4 linked regions of the Macaca mulatta genome follow. The protein of the gene in region 1 interacts with the protein of each later gene in a pairwise test. Links are inferred from orthologs where the notes say so. Each region holds a gene or a part of one and is shown in the gene's direction. Other genes may lie near its edges.

Region 1 (4,047 bases):
ACAAAGGAGGAAGCTAAATCTCAGTGAGATTAAGCAATTATTCTGAAGACACCAAACTAATAAGTGAAGACGCCAGCCTAAACTCTGATTTTCAGATCTTTTTAAATTCCAACACCCCATACCAGCACAACCACCTTTTAAAAACCACAATTTTTTTTTTTTTTTTTTTTTTTTTGAGACGGAGTCTCGCTCTGTCACCCAGGCTGGAGTGCAGTGGTGCCATCTCGGCTCACCGCAAGCTCCACCTCCCGGGTTCACGCCATTCTCCCACCTCAGCCTCCCGAGTAGCTGGGACGACAGGCGCCCGTCACCATGCCTGGCTAATTTTTTGTATTTTTAGTAGAGACGGGGTTTCACCGTATTAGCCAGGATGCTCTCCATCTCCTGACCTCGTGATCCGCCTGTCTCGGCCTCCTAAAGTGCTGGGATTACAGGAGTGAGCCACCGCGCCCAGCTTTTCTTTTCTTTTTTTCTTTTTTTTCTTTTTTTTTTGAGATGGAGTTTCACTCTTGTTGCCCAGGCTGGAGTGCAATGGCCCGATCTCGGCTCACCGTAACCTCCGTCTCCTGGGTTCAAGTGATTCTCCTGCCTCAGCCTCCTGAGTAGCTGGGATTACAGGCTCGCGCCTGCACACCCGGCCAATTTTTGTATTTTTAGTAGAGACGGGGTTTCTCCATGTTGGTCAGGCTGGTCTTGAACTCCCGACCTCAGGTGATCCGCCCACCTCGGCCTCCCAAAGTGCTGGAATTACAGGCGTGAGCCACCTCGCCCGGCCTAAAAACCACATTTTTACTGATCTCATGCTTTTCTGTTCAATTGCATTAGAGAGGACGCCTAAGATAAAATGAATATAGAGGGAAGTGGGATTTATGCAGGGTCTCGACCTCGGAAGAGGTGAGTTTAAGGAGACAGGAGGATGAGCAGGAGCAAGCGCGCGCACGTAAGGAGCGTTTGGGAAGTAGTCAAGAGTCCGCCAGGGGTGGAGTGGGTTCATAAGGCTAGAAGGAGGGCTCCTTCCACGGTTCAGGGTGATGACTTGAAGGGTAGCGGATACCAGAGCTCTGGTAACTACACGGACAGACGTTTAAACCCGGACACTTGCACGCCGGGTCCTCTCCGTGATCGCCCAGCCCATCTCGGGGGCAGAGCCGAGGCGCAGCCCGCCTATCATCGCTGCCGAGACTGACGAGGTCTCTTCTTTATAGGCGAGCGACAGCGTGACGTCATGTTCGCCGGGCAGGCGAAGAAAGAGGACGCCATGATTGGTTGGCGCTGGGGCGGCGGGCGGTGGAAGGGCCTGGGGAGTCCAGGTTTCACGCCTGTGCTGGACTTTCTCCTTCCATGTTTCCAGGCCGTGGGGGGCTACAGAGAGCAAGGAGTCGGCTCAGCGGAAACCTGGATTTGGTTTTAGGCCGTGGGGTTCAGAGGGGGTGACCGGAAGTGATCGTGGGACTGACCGGAAGCGAGGCCTGGAGGGGAAAGAGAGAGCGAGCCCTGGGAGGGAGGGGGCCTCCAGCAGAAAGGGGCGGGGGAAAAGGTGCAAAAGCAGCGTGGGAGCGCCGGGCTAGCTTCCTGCGGCTGCTGCTGGTCTGTCTGGGAAGCAGCAAGCCACCACTACGAACTCTCAAGAGGGTATCTTAAGGAGTGGGAGTGCGGGAGTCCAGAGCTGCTTCTGGGAAGTCTGCAGTAGTTGAGCAAAGGGGTCCTCACGTTCCTGAGACCTGAGCAGGGGGGATTTTGGAACCTGGGGCAACCAAGAACTAGCAGCCAAGGATACGGGAGATTAGTTATACGAGCAGTGCTGGTCGGGCTTGGGGGTGGCTGGTGGGCACTCCGTGGGAAACCTTGGTTTGTAGTTTTCTACTGTGTTACTCCTGTTGGGTAGAATTACCCTCCGCGCCTTTGTACAAGACACAGTGTCTCCTGGGGCAAGGAAGGAGCCAGGATGGCCTGGGCTCTGAAGCTGCCTCTGGCCGACGAAGTGATTGAATCCGGGTTGGTGCAGGACTTTGATGCTAGCCTGTCCGGGATCGGCCAGGAACTGGGTGCTGGTGCCTATAGCATGAGGTGAGTGAGATTTTCCCAGACCCTACACCTGAATAACAAAGGCGGATAGAGACTAAGAAAAGTGGTTGAGTGGGAAGGAGGTGTATAGAGTTTTAAAAAACTGTCTACGATTGTGGAAAGGGGACTTGTTCCTTTGTCGCTTTGAGTAGTGTTGTGGAAGAAATGGAAAAAGCGATTGTAGGCTATATGAAGCCTGCGCAGGATCAGTGGAAGAAGGAAGAGTGGTCCCTGATTAGCAACCAGATGAATGTTGAGAGGCTTTTGTGCCCATGTGCATTGGAGACTTGGGGACTGATGGTGTATGTGGGGGTAAGTCTGACGTTATGTGAAGAAGGGGTTACATACAGCATAGGAAGGCTATCTAGGAAGTTGGGAAATTGGGAGCTGGTGCTTAATGATGAATATTCGTTCGTTTCTTGTTGGAAAGATATGGAAGTCCTTGATGAAGAAGTCCGTGCAGTTATATCTTATCACTAGCTTGCTTTAAGACTTTACTTAATTCTGGGATTTCTGACTTTTAAAACATAAGCTGTGAAATGAAAAAGTGACGAAGAAAACTTACGATGCTTCTGGATCTTTACGTATCAAGCCAATTGTTGATAACAGATGATATATCTCCTTTCGGCCGGGTTCGGTGGCTCACGCCTGTAATCCTAGCACTTTGGGAGGCTGAGACGGGTGGATCACTTCGGCCTAAGAGTTCGAGACCATCGTGGCCAATGTGGTGAAACCCTGTCTATACTAAAAATACAAAAATTAGCCGGGTGTGGTGCTGCGGGCCTGTAATCCTAGCCACTCGGGAGGCTGAGGCAGGAGAATCACTTGAACCCGGGAGGCGGAGGTTGCAGTGAGCAGAGATGGTGCCATTGCACTCCAGCCTGGGCAACAAAGTGAGACTCCATTTGAAAAACAAAACAAAAACTCCTTTGAAAGCAACATTACTGCCTATATAACTTTCTGCATGCATTGGCTAGTTTATTCCTCCAATATAGTTTATTTCATTTATAGATGTGCAAGAATCCTGTATGGAAGTGTTGCAACAGCTGCGTCTTAGGGGTAGATGGACTATAATTGGGTTTCCTAATGCATTATAAGACTTTAAGTAAGTGAGTCGAGAGACTAGAACTTAACATTTTCATTGGGTTTATAAAAGTTCATAGGGGAAAGATGCTTTTTAGGGGGAAAGTAGATGCATTTTTCATTCTGATAATGAGATCTTTTAAGAGTTATGTAAAGTTCCTTTATTCCTGCTAATTCAAAGTGGACTTTCCTCACTGAAGTAAAATTATGAGTTAGAATTTACCACTTCAGGCCGGGCATGGTGGCTCACACCTGTAATCCCAGCACTTTGAGAGGCTGAGGTGGGCAGATCACAAGGTCAGGAGTTTGAGACCTGGCCAACATGGTGAAACCCCGTCTCTACTAAAAATACAAAAAATTAGCCGGGTGTGGTGATGCACGCCTGTAATCCCAGCTACTTGGGAGGCTGAGGCAGGAGAATCACTTGAACCGGGAGGCGGAGGTTGCTGTGAGCAGAGATCACACCATTGCACTCCAGCTTGGACAACAAGAGCAAAACTCTGTCTCAAAAAAAAAAAAAGAGAGAGAATTTAATACTTCAGCATCTTCAGGAATCTTTACTTGTAATTAGAATAATAAAGACTGTTATTCTAAATAATAATCATGCCTGTAATCCCAGCACTTTGAGGGGGTAGAGACTGGAGGATCTCTTGAAGCCAGGAGTTCAAGACCTGCTCTCCACAAATAAATCAATAGATAAATTACCCTGGCCTGGTGGCATGTTCCTGTAACCCCAGCTACTCAGGAGACTGAGGTGGAAGGATTGCTTGAGCCCAGGAATTTGAGTCTGTAGTGAGTTGTGATTGCACCACTCTACTCCAGCCTGGTGACAGAGTGAGACCTCTTAAGAAAAACAAACAAACAAACAAAATTTAAAAATTAAGAAAAATTGGAAAAAAA
Region 2 (4,110 bases), on another chromosome or scaffold:
ACAGAAAACCAAATACCGCATGTTCTCACTCACAGGTGGGAATTGAACAATGAGATCACTTGGACACAGGAAGGGGATCATCACACACCGGGTCCTATTGTTGGGGGGGGCGGGATAGCATTAGGAGATATACCTAATGTAAATGACGAGTTCATGGGTGCAGCACACCAACATGGTACATGTATACATATGTAACAAACCTGCACGTTGTGCACATGTACCTTAGAACTTAAAGTATAATAATAATAATAATAAAATACTAAATATAAAACCACACCCCGACCCCTAGTCCTAGTAAATCTGAATTCACCAGAATTGGGGCCCAGAGCCTACATTTCTTTTTTTTCTTTCTTTTTTCTGAGACGGAGTCTTGCTCCGTCGCCAGGCTGGAGTGCAGAGGTGCGATCTTGGTTCACTGCAACTTCAGCCTCCCAGGTTGGAGCGATTCTCTAGCCTCAGCCTCGCGAGTAGCTGGGATTACAGGCACGCACCACATGCCCAGCTGATATATATATATATATCTTTTGTATTTTTAGTAGAGACGGGGTTTCACCATGTTGGCCAGGATGGTCTCTATCTCTTGACCTCGTGATCCGTCCGCCTCGGCCTCCCAAAGTGCTGGGATTACAGGTGTGAGCCACCACGCCGGGCCAGAAGACGCATTTCTAACAAGCTCCCCCAAATGACTCTGATGTCTTGCACCCATACTTGAATGGGTATTGGTTGAGAGCCTTGTTCTCCAGCTCTCCGCTCTGTTAAATGGACATACTGATACTTCCTTCACAATAAAAGAGGAGATGTCTGTGAAAGCCTGTTTCCGCAATGCACGTGCTAATGCTCTTCCCGCCCCTTCCCCTCTTCCCCCTCTTTCTCCTATACCAAGGTGAAGAGCTTTTATTATTCACTTGATTTTGGACCCAGTTCGTGTTTAATGCACCTGGCCTAAGATGTAGCGTTGAGCCCAGGGAGAAGGGAAGGGTTGGGGGAGGAAGAAAGAGTCGCAAATTCCCGGGTAACAGGCAGATTGGCTCCATAGGTCTAATCAAGCTGCACTTGACGCTCCGCGGGCCTGCTGCGCCCCTGCCCCCTCGGGCGAAAACTCGCCTCTGCCCAAGGCTGTGCCGGGCGTCCGCCCCCGCACTTCGCTGATTGGCCGCACTGGCCCGCTCGTCACGCTCTTTTGTCTCAGCTGGCCCAGGATAAAAGCCGCCGCGGCTGCCTTGGGAACCGCGCTGTCTCGTCTCGGCTACCCCTGGTTGGGCGGCCGTGCGAAGCAGCTCCTTCGGGCAGCCCCTGGTCGCTTAGCGGCCAAGGAGGCTTCAATTCTTTGCCCCCCTGCAGGGCGGAGGAGACCAGAAGGCGGAATCTACAGCTGGCGACGCGGGAGCATCAGCTGCCCACCAGCGGAGCACAGGTAAAGAAGGGGGGTGCGATTGCCCGGCGGGGAGAGGGGTGGGGGAAGACCCACCAGTACTGGGCGGCGCCCCGCTTGGAGAATCGGTGACTGCGAGGCAGGGGTAGGAGTACTCTCTTGGCCCGGCTGCGCTGAGGGAGGAGGTGGGGTTCACCTGGATACTGCGGACTGGGTAAGATTTGCCTGGATTTGGGGGGGGGGCAGAGGCGAGGGGTAGCGGTGGGGCGGGGGGGTGGGTAGGAATCTCAAGCTGTTTGCTTCGAACCTCCTTTGCATCTACTCATCTCTTTCTGGGAGGAATATGTGGGTGGGTGTGTCCAACTCCTATTCCCTTTCTCCGTGGCAGGCCATCAAAGCCGCATCTGAACTTCAATTCTGTGCAGCTGATTGCAGAGCTGGTAGGCCGACGGCTTCCTGGGGGAGATGTAATGCTGGGGGTGGGGGGCTGGTGTCTGGCTTATAGTCAGGAGGGGGCAGAGAGAATTTTTCGCCTGGCAACAGCGGAGGTTGTGGGTAGCAGGATGATGGGTGAAGCTGCTACTAACCCTTCCCTTCTCTGGCCTTCTCCGCTGTGGCGCAATCTTGAAACCTCGAGGACCCGGATCTGCGACCCCCTGTGGACAGAGGTTGACCGTACCCGGAGAGGAGCTTTCCCACGGAGGGCACTGGTTGCAGAGGCTGGAAATGAAATAAAGGCGCGCTCTTGTTTCAGAGTTCGTGTAAGAATCTGAGAAATAAAGAGGGAGACGGGGGTGGGGGGCACTTTGAGAAGGGGGTGTGGTTGAGACCAGAGACCATGAGGTTAATGAGATTTTATTTCCACAAATCTGCGATCATTGTACTCTATTTGGAGAGCCCAATATCAGCTCCAGACACTGCTACACCTAGAATTTGAAGCAACAGTTGCCCTCCCTGTTGGAGGACTGGTGGGAGGGATGGATGTGGCTGCAAAAAGCACCTTGCTAGCACGCAGCCATCGGGTAGCTCTGGGAGGTTGTAAGTGCCAGTCTCCTACAGGATTATTTTTAGGGTAGTGGGCAAATATAAAATGTACTGCAGGATATTCAGGTAGGGAGAGAATGCAGCTGCAGCCTGCTCCCTTATTAACCAGCTCCCCTTTCTTTTTTACAGCCCCTGCTGAGATAGGAACGCAGAGCCACCCCCTCTCCTCTCCCGCCTGCAGATTAAGCTTCTCTAAAAAGTCTAGGCATCTTATATTCAGATACCCTATCGTCGTCAGTCATGGCTAGCATCATTGCACGTGTCGGTAACAGCCGGCGGCAGAACGCACCCTTGCCGCCTTGGGCCCATTCCATGCTGAGGTCCCTGGGGAGAAGTCTCGGTCCTATAATGGCCAGCATGGCAGACAGAAACATGAAGTTGTTCTCGGGGAGGGTGGTGCCAGCCCAGGGGGAAGAAACCTTTGAAAACTGGCTGACCCAAGTCAATGGGGTCCTGCCAGATTGGAGTATGTCTGAGGAGGAAAAGCTCAAGCGCTTGATGAAAACCCTTAGGGGCCCTGCCCGCGAGGTCATGCGTGTGCTTCAGGCGACCAACCCTAACCTAAGTGTGGCAGATTTCTTGCGAGCCATGAAATTGGTGTTTGGGGAGTCTGAAAGCAGTGTGACTGCCCATGGTAAATTTTTTAACACCTTACAAGCTCAAGGGGAGAAAACCTCCCTTTACGTGATCCGTTTAGAGGTGCAGCTCCAGAACGCTATTCAGGCAGGCATCATAGCTGAGAAAGATGCAAACCGGACTCGCTTGCAGCAGCTCCTTTTAGGCGGTGAGCTGAGTAGGGACCTCCGACTCAGACTTAAGGATTTTCTCAGGATGTATGCAAATGAGCAGGAGCGGCTTCCCGATTTTCTGGAGTTAATCAGAATGGTAAGGGAGGAAGAGGATTGGGATGATGCTTTTATTAAACGGAAGCGGCCAAAAAGGTCTGAGTCAATGGTGGAGAGGGCAGTCAGCCCTGTGGCGTTTCAGGGCTCCCCACCGATAGTGATCGGCAGTGCTGACTGCAATGTAATAGAGATAGATGATACCCTCGACGACTCCGATGAGGATGTGATCCTGGTGGAGTCTCAGGACCCTCCACTTCCATCCTGGGGTGCCCCTCCCCTCAGAGACAGGGCCAGACTTCAGGATGAAGTGCTGGTCATTGATTCCCCCCACAATTCTAGGGCTCAGTTTCCTTCCACCAGTGGTGGTTCTGGCTATAAGAATAATGGTCCCGGGGAGATGCGTAGAGCCAGGAAGCGAAAACACGCAATCCGCTGTTCCTATTGTGGTGACGAGGGTCACTCAAAAGAAGCCTGTGACAACGAGAGTGACAAGGTCCAGGTTTTTGAGAATTTGATCATCACCCTGCAGGAGCTGACCCATACCGAGATGGAGAGGTCAAGAGGGGCCCTTGGCGAATACATTGACTTCTCTGAGCCACTCTAAGGAACCAGCTCCCAGATTTCAGTGAACCCTTACCTATATTCAGCATCCAGTAGTGGGAAAACTGGGTTGGGGTGGGGGCGGGGCTTCTAACTGCATGAATTAATCCACAAAGTGGCTATCTTTTGGGGTGGAGGAGAAAGGGTCTTGGATACCAGCACATTGGAGGGAGATAGCCTGACCTCTGTCCTTGCTCCTTCTCCCTGCAGCCTACGGGTCTGTTTTCTGTGTGTGCTCACTTCCTTGAC
Region 3 (4,214 bases), on another chromosome or scaffold:
ATGCACATAAAGTTTTTAGCACAGCAGTTGATCCCTATTGGGCCTTCAATAAACAGTACTTTGAAAAAAAAACAATTCCCTTTTAAACAATATCTTCTTATGCTTACTGAAGCCATAGAATGGGAGCTTGCGTCTCTTCCCACTCTGTGGATGTTCATGACCACATCCCACTCTGCCTATAAGACAATGCACCATCATTAACTGCAAAGGAGCAAACAACGTGTCTCCAGTCAGCCTTGGTGAAAATTGCCCTGATCCTTCTCTTCTTTTAAGGGTTGCAGCAGCTCCTTACAGTGTGAAACGAGGAATGACTATCATGGCATGAAAAAAGCATCACTATGGAAGCTTATTTTTCTGGTTGTCTTCTCTTTAAGCATGTTTAGAGCTTTGAATATGTAGAACTGGTCAGAGTCTGGCACATTCTAATCAGTTTTCTTTGCCTTCCTGAAAAGTCCTGTGTAGCTTCTCATCATTGAGTGGGCATCAGTTTTCATCTTGGTCCAGGCTTAACTTGGACTTAAGAGTATTGTGAGCATAGGAGGGGAATTAATTGTGGCATTTGGTGAAGGTAAGTGAAGAAGGCAACTGGATTAGGAGGCTGAAGTCTTGGCTTCTTGGCTTGTTGCAAGTTATGGCAAAGTACCTCAACATCTCTCAATTACAAAATGCTAATTCTTACTATATGGGATTTGTATGTATGTGTGATGGTGAAATAAAATAATAAGAAAGGGGTTTATAAATTATATAGAACTATTAAAAAGGAAGACTTTCATTCTAGTAGACCTATTTGATGTATCAAATAAATATTGGGCCATATTTAACTTTAATATTAATAAAATCTTCTCCATTTATGAATTCCAATATTGCTCCAAAAAGGACTTTATTCTTACCCTGTACATCTGTAAAATGTACCATTATAAATAGCATATATTACAAATGATTAGTAATTTAATTATCTGATTTTAAATTAACATTATGATACTAGTTCAGACCAGCCTGTAAACACACAAATTATTCTCCTGATAAATTACTTTTGCTTATATTGCTTAAGTAACTAACAAAGGTAGAGTTGGAAATCTTAAGTGTACAAAATATTTTCCATTTAGAAAATCTAAAGAATTATATGTGATAATATTAAGCCATATCTTCTACTAACATGAGTGAAACAGGACTTGGCTTTATAAAATCTAGGATTTGATCATTCTCTTTTACAATATAAGAAAATAAAGCAATTGAAACTAACATAGCCCTTGTAGAATTTTTTACAACACTTTTTTTAGATATGTGTACTTCCTGATAAGCAGAGATGATGAAATAATGGCCTATTAAGGGCAAACAAGTTTCTATAAAAATGCCCAAGCAGGGATTTAAGGCATCTCCTGCACGCACAGTTGCAGTTAGTTATTCCAGGTATTATTTTTGTTTTCAGGAAAAGAAAACTCAGTAGAAGACAATGGCAAGTCCAGACTGGGGATATGATGACAAAAATGGTAAGAGTTCTCCTGTTTATATAGATCAAAATGATAGCTTCTTCCCATTTCCAACAGAAGAGATATTAAGCATTTAAAATAACGGTACAGCCATAGGTTAATTGTTGAACTGGCTGCTTTAAATAATTATACTATCTTTGCATGTATTCTTAGCATTGTCTTTCGGGGCATGACTGACTACAAAATATGTTTGATATATGTACAGACATACCTCAGAGATACTGCAGGTTCAGGTTCAGACCCCTATCATTAAGCAAATATCACAAGAAAGCAAGTCATATAAAATTTGGAGTTTTCCAGGGCATTTAAAAGTTATGTTTACACTATGCTGTTGTCTATTATGTGCAATAGCATTATGTCCAAAAAATATACCTACCTTAATTAAAAATACTTTATTGCTACAATATGCTAGTGATCATCTGAACTTTCAGAAGTACTAATTTTTTTTTTCTTTAAGTCAGAGTCTCACTCTGTTGCCCAGGCTAGAGTGCAATGGCACGATCTAGGCTCACTGCAACCTCTGCCTCCCAGGTTCAAGTGATTCTCCCGCCTCAGCCTCCTGAGTAGCTGAGACTACAGGTGCCCACCACCACACCTAGCTAATTTTTTTGTATTTTTAGTAGAGATGGGGTTCCACCATGTTAGCCAGGATGGTCTCGATCCCGGGACCTCATAATCCACCCTCCTTGGCCTCCCAAAGTGCTGGGATTACAAGTGTGAGCCACCACGCCTAGCCAAGTATTAATCTTTTTGATGGAGAGGGTCTTGCCTCAATGTGGATGACTGCTGACTGATCAGGTGGTGGTTGCTGAAGGTTGGGAAAGCTCAAAGTTATCCATGACTTTGGAATCAACTTCTTCCAAACTCCTGTTAATGTTGATAACTTGACCTTCTCCCATGAATTATGAATGTCCATGCAGAATGGTGAATCCTTTCTAGACAACTTCAATTTCCTTTACTCAGATCCATCATAAAAAAATTATTATCTATGGGAACTACAGGCTTACAAAATGTATTCTTAAATAAGATTTGAAAGTTGAAATTTTTCCTTGATCCATAGACTGCAGAATAGATGCTGTGTTAGTAGGCATGAACATAACATCAATCTCCTTGTACATCTCCATCAGAGCTCCTGGGTGACCAGGTGCATTGCCAATGAGCAGTGATATTTTGAAAGGAATCTTCTTTTACAGAGGAGTAGAGCTCAACAGTGGGCTTCAAAATATTCAGTAAACCAGGCTGTAAACAGATGTGCTGTCATTCAGGCTTTGTTGTTCCTTTTAGAGAACACAGGCAGAGTAGATTGAGCATAATTCTTAACGGTCCTAGGATTTTCAGAATACTAAATGAGTGTTGGCTTCAACTTAAAGTCAACAACTGCATTTGACAAAAGAGTCAGGCTATTTTTTAAAACTTTGAAACCATGCATTGACTTCTCCTCTCTAGCTATGAAAGTCTTAGATGTTATCTTCTTCCAATAGAAGGCTGTTTTGTCTACTCTGAAAATCTGTTCTTGAGTGTAGTCACTTTCATTGGTTATCTTAGCTAGATCTTCTGCATAACTGTCTGCAGCTTCTGTATCAGCACTTGCCACTTCACCTCGCACTTTCATGTTATGGAGATGGCATCTTTCTTTAAATCTCATAAACCAACCTCCACTAGCTTCTAACTTTTCTTCTGCAGCTTTTTTGCCTTTCTCAGCCTTCACAGAATTAAAGAGAGCTGTAAGCTTGTGTAATTAGGATTTGGCTTAAGGGAATGTGGTTGTTGGTTTGATCTTCTATCCAGACTACTCAAACTTTCTCCATATCAGCAATAATGCTTCTTTGCTTTCTTATCATTTGTGTGTGCACTGGTGTAGCATGTTTAATTTTCTCTAGGAACTTTTCTTTTGCATTCACAACTTGGCTAACTGGTACAAAAAGTCTACCTTTTGGCCGGTCTCAACTCTTGACATGCCTTCCTCACTGGGCTTAATCATTTCTAGCTTTTGATTCAAAGTGAGAAACATGTGACTCTTCCTCTTACTGGAATACTTACAGGTCATTGTAGGGTTATTAATCAGATTAATTTCAATATTGTTGTCTCAGGGAATAGGAAGACTTATAGAGAGGGAGAGAGATGGGGAACAGCCAGTCAATAAAGTAGTTAAAACACACACAACATTTACAGGCTAAGTTCATCATCTTTTTTTTTTTTTTTTTTTTTTTTTTTTTTTGAGACGGAGTCTTGCTCTGTCGCCCAGGCTGGGGTGCAGTGGCCGGATCTCAGCTCACTGCAAGCTCCACCTCCCGGGTTTACGCCATTCTCCTGCCTCAGCCTCCTGAGTAGCTGGGACTACAGGCGCCCGCCACCTCGCCCGGCTAGTTTTTTGTATTTTTTAGTAGAGATGGGGTTTCACCATGTTAGCCAGGATGGTCTCGATCTCCTGACCTCGTGATCCACCCGTCTCGGCCTCCCAAAGTGCTGGGATTACAGGCTTGAGCCACCGCGCCCGGCCTAAGTTCATCATCTTACTTGGACATGGTTTATGGTGCCACAACACTATTACAATAGTAACATCAAAGATCACAATGATAGATATATGAACAATTTAAAAGTTTAAAATATTGTGAGAATGACCAAAATGTGACACAGAGACGTGAAGTAAACACATGCTGTTGAAAATATGCCCCTAATAAGCTTGCTTGATGCAAGATTGCTACAAATCTTCAGTTTATAAAA
Region 4 (4,094 bases), on another chromosome or scaffold:
TTGGGTAGAGGGCACCATGTCCCAGGGCTATCAAATAAAGAATAGTTGTTTTTTTTTTTTTAAATAAAGGTTTATCTGCCCAAGAAGGCAGATATTTTCATATCTGTAAAGGTGGGAGCTGTGATCTGTCCCCTCTGCCAAACGTTTGTGTGGGAGGCGGGAGCGGGGGCTGAGGGCTTGGGCTTTTCCCCTCCTTAGCTCACCGGTTCTGGACCATGGTCTGGATCATTTTCCCCTCTGCTAATACCCCCTCCCCCGTCCCTCACATCAGGGAGGCGTGCCCTCTAGCTATCCACGCCCTCTCCTTGGTCACTAGTTATCTAGATAAGTTTCACCCTTCCGCCGGCCACCCCAGCCCCAGGGAGCAACGTTCCTTTGGTGGGTGTCGGCAAATGGGGACCGGACCCCGGAGTCCAGAGGCGGGGCTAGCGCGCGCTCCCAAACTGCTGGCTCTTTCCTCCCGCCCTTTCCCTGCCTTTCCGTTCGAACGGCTGGGGCTCTGCCCGCTCGCTGCCCATTGGCTGGCTCTCGGTGGCGTCACCGCCTCGGGTCCTTGCCCCCTTCGTCTTTGCGCCAGCCCTGGAAGCACGGGGCGGGACGTACCCGGGAAGCGGCGCGCACGCCCGCCGACTCCCTCTCGCCAACCGCCGACGGCCGCCGCCCCGTGAAGGAGGAGCTCAGTCCTCCCAGGTGCCGCGCGCAGGAGGGGACACGCGTGCGCAAAAGGGCGGCGGGTGGGGCGCGACTCGCCACGGGGAGGGCGGGGCTGGGGCTAACGGCGAGTGGAGGGCGGGGCGCGCGAGGGAGGAGGGCGTGGTGGGGGCATCGAGAAGGGTGAATGGAGGGCGGGGCCGTGAACTGGGGCCGGGGGGCGGGACTTGGAGTGACCATGGGGGGTGGGGCAGTTAACGGATGTGGCATGGGGCGGGGGACCAGTCCGGAGGCGCGCTGCCGGGAGGGGGGATTCCCTCGTGCCCCAAGGGCGAGTCTCAGGTCGGAGGAAGGGGCTGAGGGGATTCCCTCTCCCACCGGGTCCGACTCTTTGCTTCCCAAGCCGTGGAGGGCCTGCCTCTTCCTCGGCACCCTCCAGGCCTGTCGGAGGTGAGGGAGGTGGGGTGAGGTGGTGCCCGCCCCCCCCTCCGGCTCCTCCTTCCCCCCAGTCCTCCCCTCCCACCACCCTCCCCCCCAACCGGTCCGTCCCTCCCCTCCCTCCCCCCCGCCGCCTCCTCCTCCTGCCGCTGCTGCTGCTTTGGCTGCTGCGTCATACGCCCCAGAGCCGCCGGGACGGAGGGGCTGGGCCTGGGGACCCCCCGGCCTCCGCCTGCACAACCCCCCCACGCCCGGACGTGCCCTCTCCGCGCGGGGGACTCGCCTAGGTCTCCTACGTCTGCCCCTGCCCGGCTCCTGGCGGCCCCAGCTGTCACCGGTAAGGAGGCGGCAGGAGGCGCCGGTGGGGGGCAGGGAGCCGGGGGTCGGCGCGGGGCGCGGGCGGGAGAGCCTCGCCGCCTTGGCCTCGGGTCCGAGCTGGGCCGACTCAAGTCCCTTCTCGGACTTGCGGTCCTGGGGAGTGGAGACCAGGACTGGGACACGCCCCCCTCCCGGGGCACTCGGAGAAGTTGTCTAACCCGGGGGCAGGGAGCCCCGAATTTGAGGGTGACCTGACATAACCTGGCACCAGGATGATTGTTCTTAATGAGACACGCAGGCCTGGGGAGACAGCCGTTTCTGCTCTGGAAAACATCTCCAGAAAAGGTCCCAAAACACATCTCTGGGCAACAGGACACCCTAATTATGATACCTCTAAACTGAGTGGTAGCCTTTGCTTCTACAACCGTAATTTCTCCTAAAATTTCAAGGCCAGGATATAATATCCCAGGAGAGCTCTGGAAGCTGGGAAACTAGCAACTAGGTTTGGGGTTGGGGGGAGGGCAGTTACCGTGAGGAGAGCCAGTCACTAGAGTTGAAAGAGGACTCAAGAAGCTGGTGATGGGTGCCTGGTGGTTTCCTATCCAGGTGTCTCAGGGATTTGGAGATGGGGGCACAGATCCTTCATTCTTGACGGCAAAATAGGCAAAGAAAATGGGGAAGTTGGCCGGGCGCGGTGGCTCACGCCTGTAATCCCAACACTTTGGGAAGCTGAGGTGGGTGGATCATGAGGTCAGGAGTTCGAGACCAGTTTGGCCAACATGGCCAACACCCCCTCTCTACTAAAAATACAAAAAATAGCCAGGCGTGGTGGTGGGTAGACCTTTAATCCCACCTACTTGGGAGGCTGAGGCAGGAGAATTGCCTGAACCCAGGAGGTGATGGTTGCAGTGAGCCAAGATTGTCCAGCCTGGGCGACAGAGCAAAACTCCATCTCAGAAAAAAAAAATGGGGAAGCTTTCTGAGCATTCATAACCTTCTCCTCCCCATTTCTTTTCTGGCTAGGCCCCCCCAGGATGCAATGGCGCAGCCCCCCCGGCTGAGCCGCTCTGGTACCTCCTCACTTTGGGACCCAGCTTCTCCTGCTCCCACCTCTGGCCCCAGGCCTCGACTTTGGGAGGGTCAAGATGTGCTGGCCAGATGGACTGATGGGCTGCTATACTTGGGTACCATCAAAAAGGTAAGACCTTCTACCTCTGATCTTTTTCCTATTTCCCTTATCTAATTCTGGTTCCCATTTCATTCTCTTTGCTCACCCATTCCAGGTGGACAGTGCTAGAGAGGTGTGTCTGGTCCAGTTTGAGGATGATTCGCAGTTTCTGGTTCTATGGAAAGACATTAGCCCTGGTAAGACTAGAGACCTGAGATTGCACATCCCATGGAAAACAAACCTGGCTTAGAGGGGCAGAAAGAGACTTAAGGGCAGGCCCCGTGACACTGTGTTCTCTCACAGCTGCCCTCCCTGGGGAGGAACTCCTCTGTTGTGTCTGTCGCTCTGAGACTGTGGTCCCTGGGAACCGGCTGGTCAGCTGTGAGAAGTGTCGCCATGGTGAGAGGGCAGGTCACCTGAATGGTCTAGCTTGCTCTTCCCTCCAGGATGGTCCTTATGTCACCTGTCGTGGCCTTAGTCCCCAAGCCACTGCTCTGGCCAGGCTGCTTAGCCCTATCTTAGTCCTCATCCCCTTTCAGCCCAGGGAGAAGCAGCCATGGAAAGGGGTGGTGTAACCTTTGCAAGCAGAGGATGATTTAACTGCATCCTTTTCTAACCATATGACCTTGGACAAGTCCCTTAACCTCTAGGAGCCTCAGTTCCCTGACTCGTAAAATAAGGATCATGTACCCTCTCATCAAGAACATGGTCAAGGATTAAATGAGATGGGTAAAGACTATTCCTGTCCCAATACCAAGCACACACAGGTATGCAATAAGTGGTCTACTATTAACATTATCACTCTTCAGCTTATCACCAGGACTGCCATGTTCCCAGGGCCCCAGCCCCTGGAGAGGGAGAGGGCACATCCTGGGTATGCCGCCAGTGTGTCTTTGCGATCGCCACCAAGGTAAAGGCACTTCCCTGTTACCCCTTCCTGTGAGAGCCTCCCATCCACATCCTCTCCCAAGCCTTTTCCTCTCCCCACCCCTCTGAAGTCATCCACCTGTCCTGTCTCTGCAGAGGGGAGGTGCCCTGAAGAAGGGCCCCTATGCCCGGGCCATGCTGGGTATGAAGCTCTCTCTGCCATATGGACTGAAGGGGCTGGACTGGGATGCTGGACATCTGAGCAACCGACAGCAGAGTTACTGTTACTGTGGTGGCCCTGGGGAGTGAGTAATGAGGGGGAGCAGACTGTGGAATGAATGATGTGGTGGTGCCTCCCAGGAAATGAAGGAAAAAGAACAGGATGAGGGTAGCACTCAGGGGGATGGGAGGTAAGTTTAGGGTTTGGGGCAGTTATGGGGAAGGGGGTTTCTGGAGGCCAGAAGTCCTATGTTCCCCCTCAGGTGGAACCTGAAAATGCTGCAGTGCCGGAGCTGCCTGCAGTGGTTCCATGAGGCCTGCACCCAGTGTCTGAGCAAGCCCCTCCTCTATGGGGACAGGTGAGACCAAGGCAGACTCTCCAGAAGCCAAGGTGTTCTCTTCGTGCTCCACCCTCAGTTCCCATGCCTGTCTC

What was found. The genes of interacting proteins can lie anywhere in the genome.
Region 2: the proteins of TFCP2 (region 1) and ZCCHC12 interact in binary tests that used the Homo sapiens proteins (3 or more experiments, as listed by UniProt). The two-hybrid records come from large-scale screens. The link is inferred for Macaca mulatta from reciprocal best matches to the Homo sapiens genes TFCP2 and ZCCHC12.
Region 3: the proteins of TFCP2 (region 1) and CA1 interact in binary tests that used the Homo sapiens proteins (3 or more experiments, as listed by UniProt). The two-hybrid records come from large-scale screens. The link is inferred for Macaca mulatta from reciprocal best matches to the Homo sapiens genes TFCP2 and CA1.
Region 4: the proteins of TFCP2 (region 1) and PHF1 interact in binary tests that used the Homo sapiens proteins (3 or more experiments, as listed by UniProt). The two-hybrid records come from large-scale screens. The link is inferred for Macaca mulatta from reciprocal best matches to the Homo sapiens genes TFCP2 and PHF1.

Annotation. Positions count from the first base shown.
Region 1 is NC_133416.1:58,370,927-58,374,973, reverse strand, and holds the start of TFCP2 (alpha-globin transcription factor CP2), read left to right. Parts: upstream 1-1,244; 5' UTR 1,245-1,945; coding exon 1,946-2,067; exon of another isoform or gene 2,068-2,691; intron 2,692-2,958; exon of another isoform or gene 2,959-4,047.
Region 2 is NC_133426.1:125,284,955-125,289,064, forward strand, and holds the start of ZCCHC12 (zinc finger CCHC domain-containing protein 12), read left to right. Parts: upstream 1-1,228; 5' UTR 1,229-1,414; intron 1,415-1,760; 5' UTR 1,761-1,812; intron 1,813-2,009; 5' UTR 2,010-2,133; intron 2,134-2,545; 5' UTR 2,546-2,656; coding exon 2,657-3,865; 3' UTR 3,866-4,110. UniProt on the Homo sapiens protein: Transcriptional coactivator in the bone morphogenetic protein (BMP)-signaling pathway. It positively modulates BMP signaling by interacting with SMAD1 and associating with CBP in the transcription complex.
Region 3 is NC_133413.1:95,947,532-95,951,745, reverse strand, and holds the start of CA1 (carbonic anhydrase 1), read left to right. Parts: upstream 1-1,332; 5' UTR 1,333-1,453; coding exon 1,454-1,490; intron 1,491-4,214. UniProt on the Homo sapiens protein: Catalyzes the reversible hydration of carbon dioxide. Can hydrate cyanamide to urea.
Region 4 is NC_133409.1:148,867,534-148,871,627, reverse strand, and holds the start of PHF1 (PHD finger protein 1), read left to right. Parts: upstream 1-1,212; 5' UTR 1,213-1,426; intron 1,427-2,430; 5' UTR 2,431-2,446; coding exon 2,447-2,605; intron 2,606-2,690; coding exon 2,691-2,772; intron 2,773-2,878; coding exon 2,879-2,974; exon of another isoform or gene 2,975-3,300; coding exon of another isoform or gene 3,301-3,304; intron 3,305-3,384; coding exon 3,385-3,485; intron 3,486-3,598; coding exon 3,599-3,747; intron 3,748-3,924; coding exon 3,925-4,020; intron 4,021-4,094. UniProt on the Homo sapiens protein: Polycomb group (PcG) that specifically binds histone H3 trimethylated at 'Lys-36' (H3K36me3) and recruits the PRC2 complex. Involved in DNA damage response and is recruited at double-strand breaks (DSBs).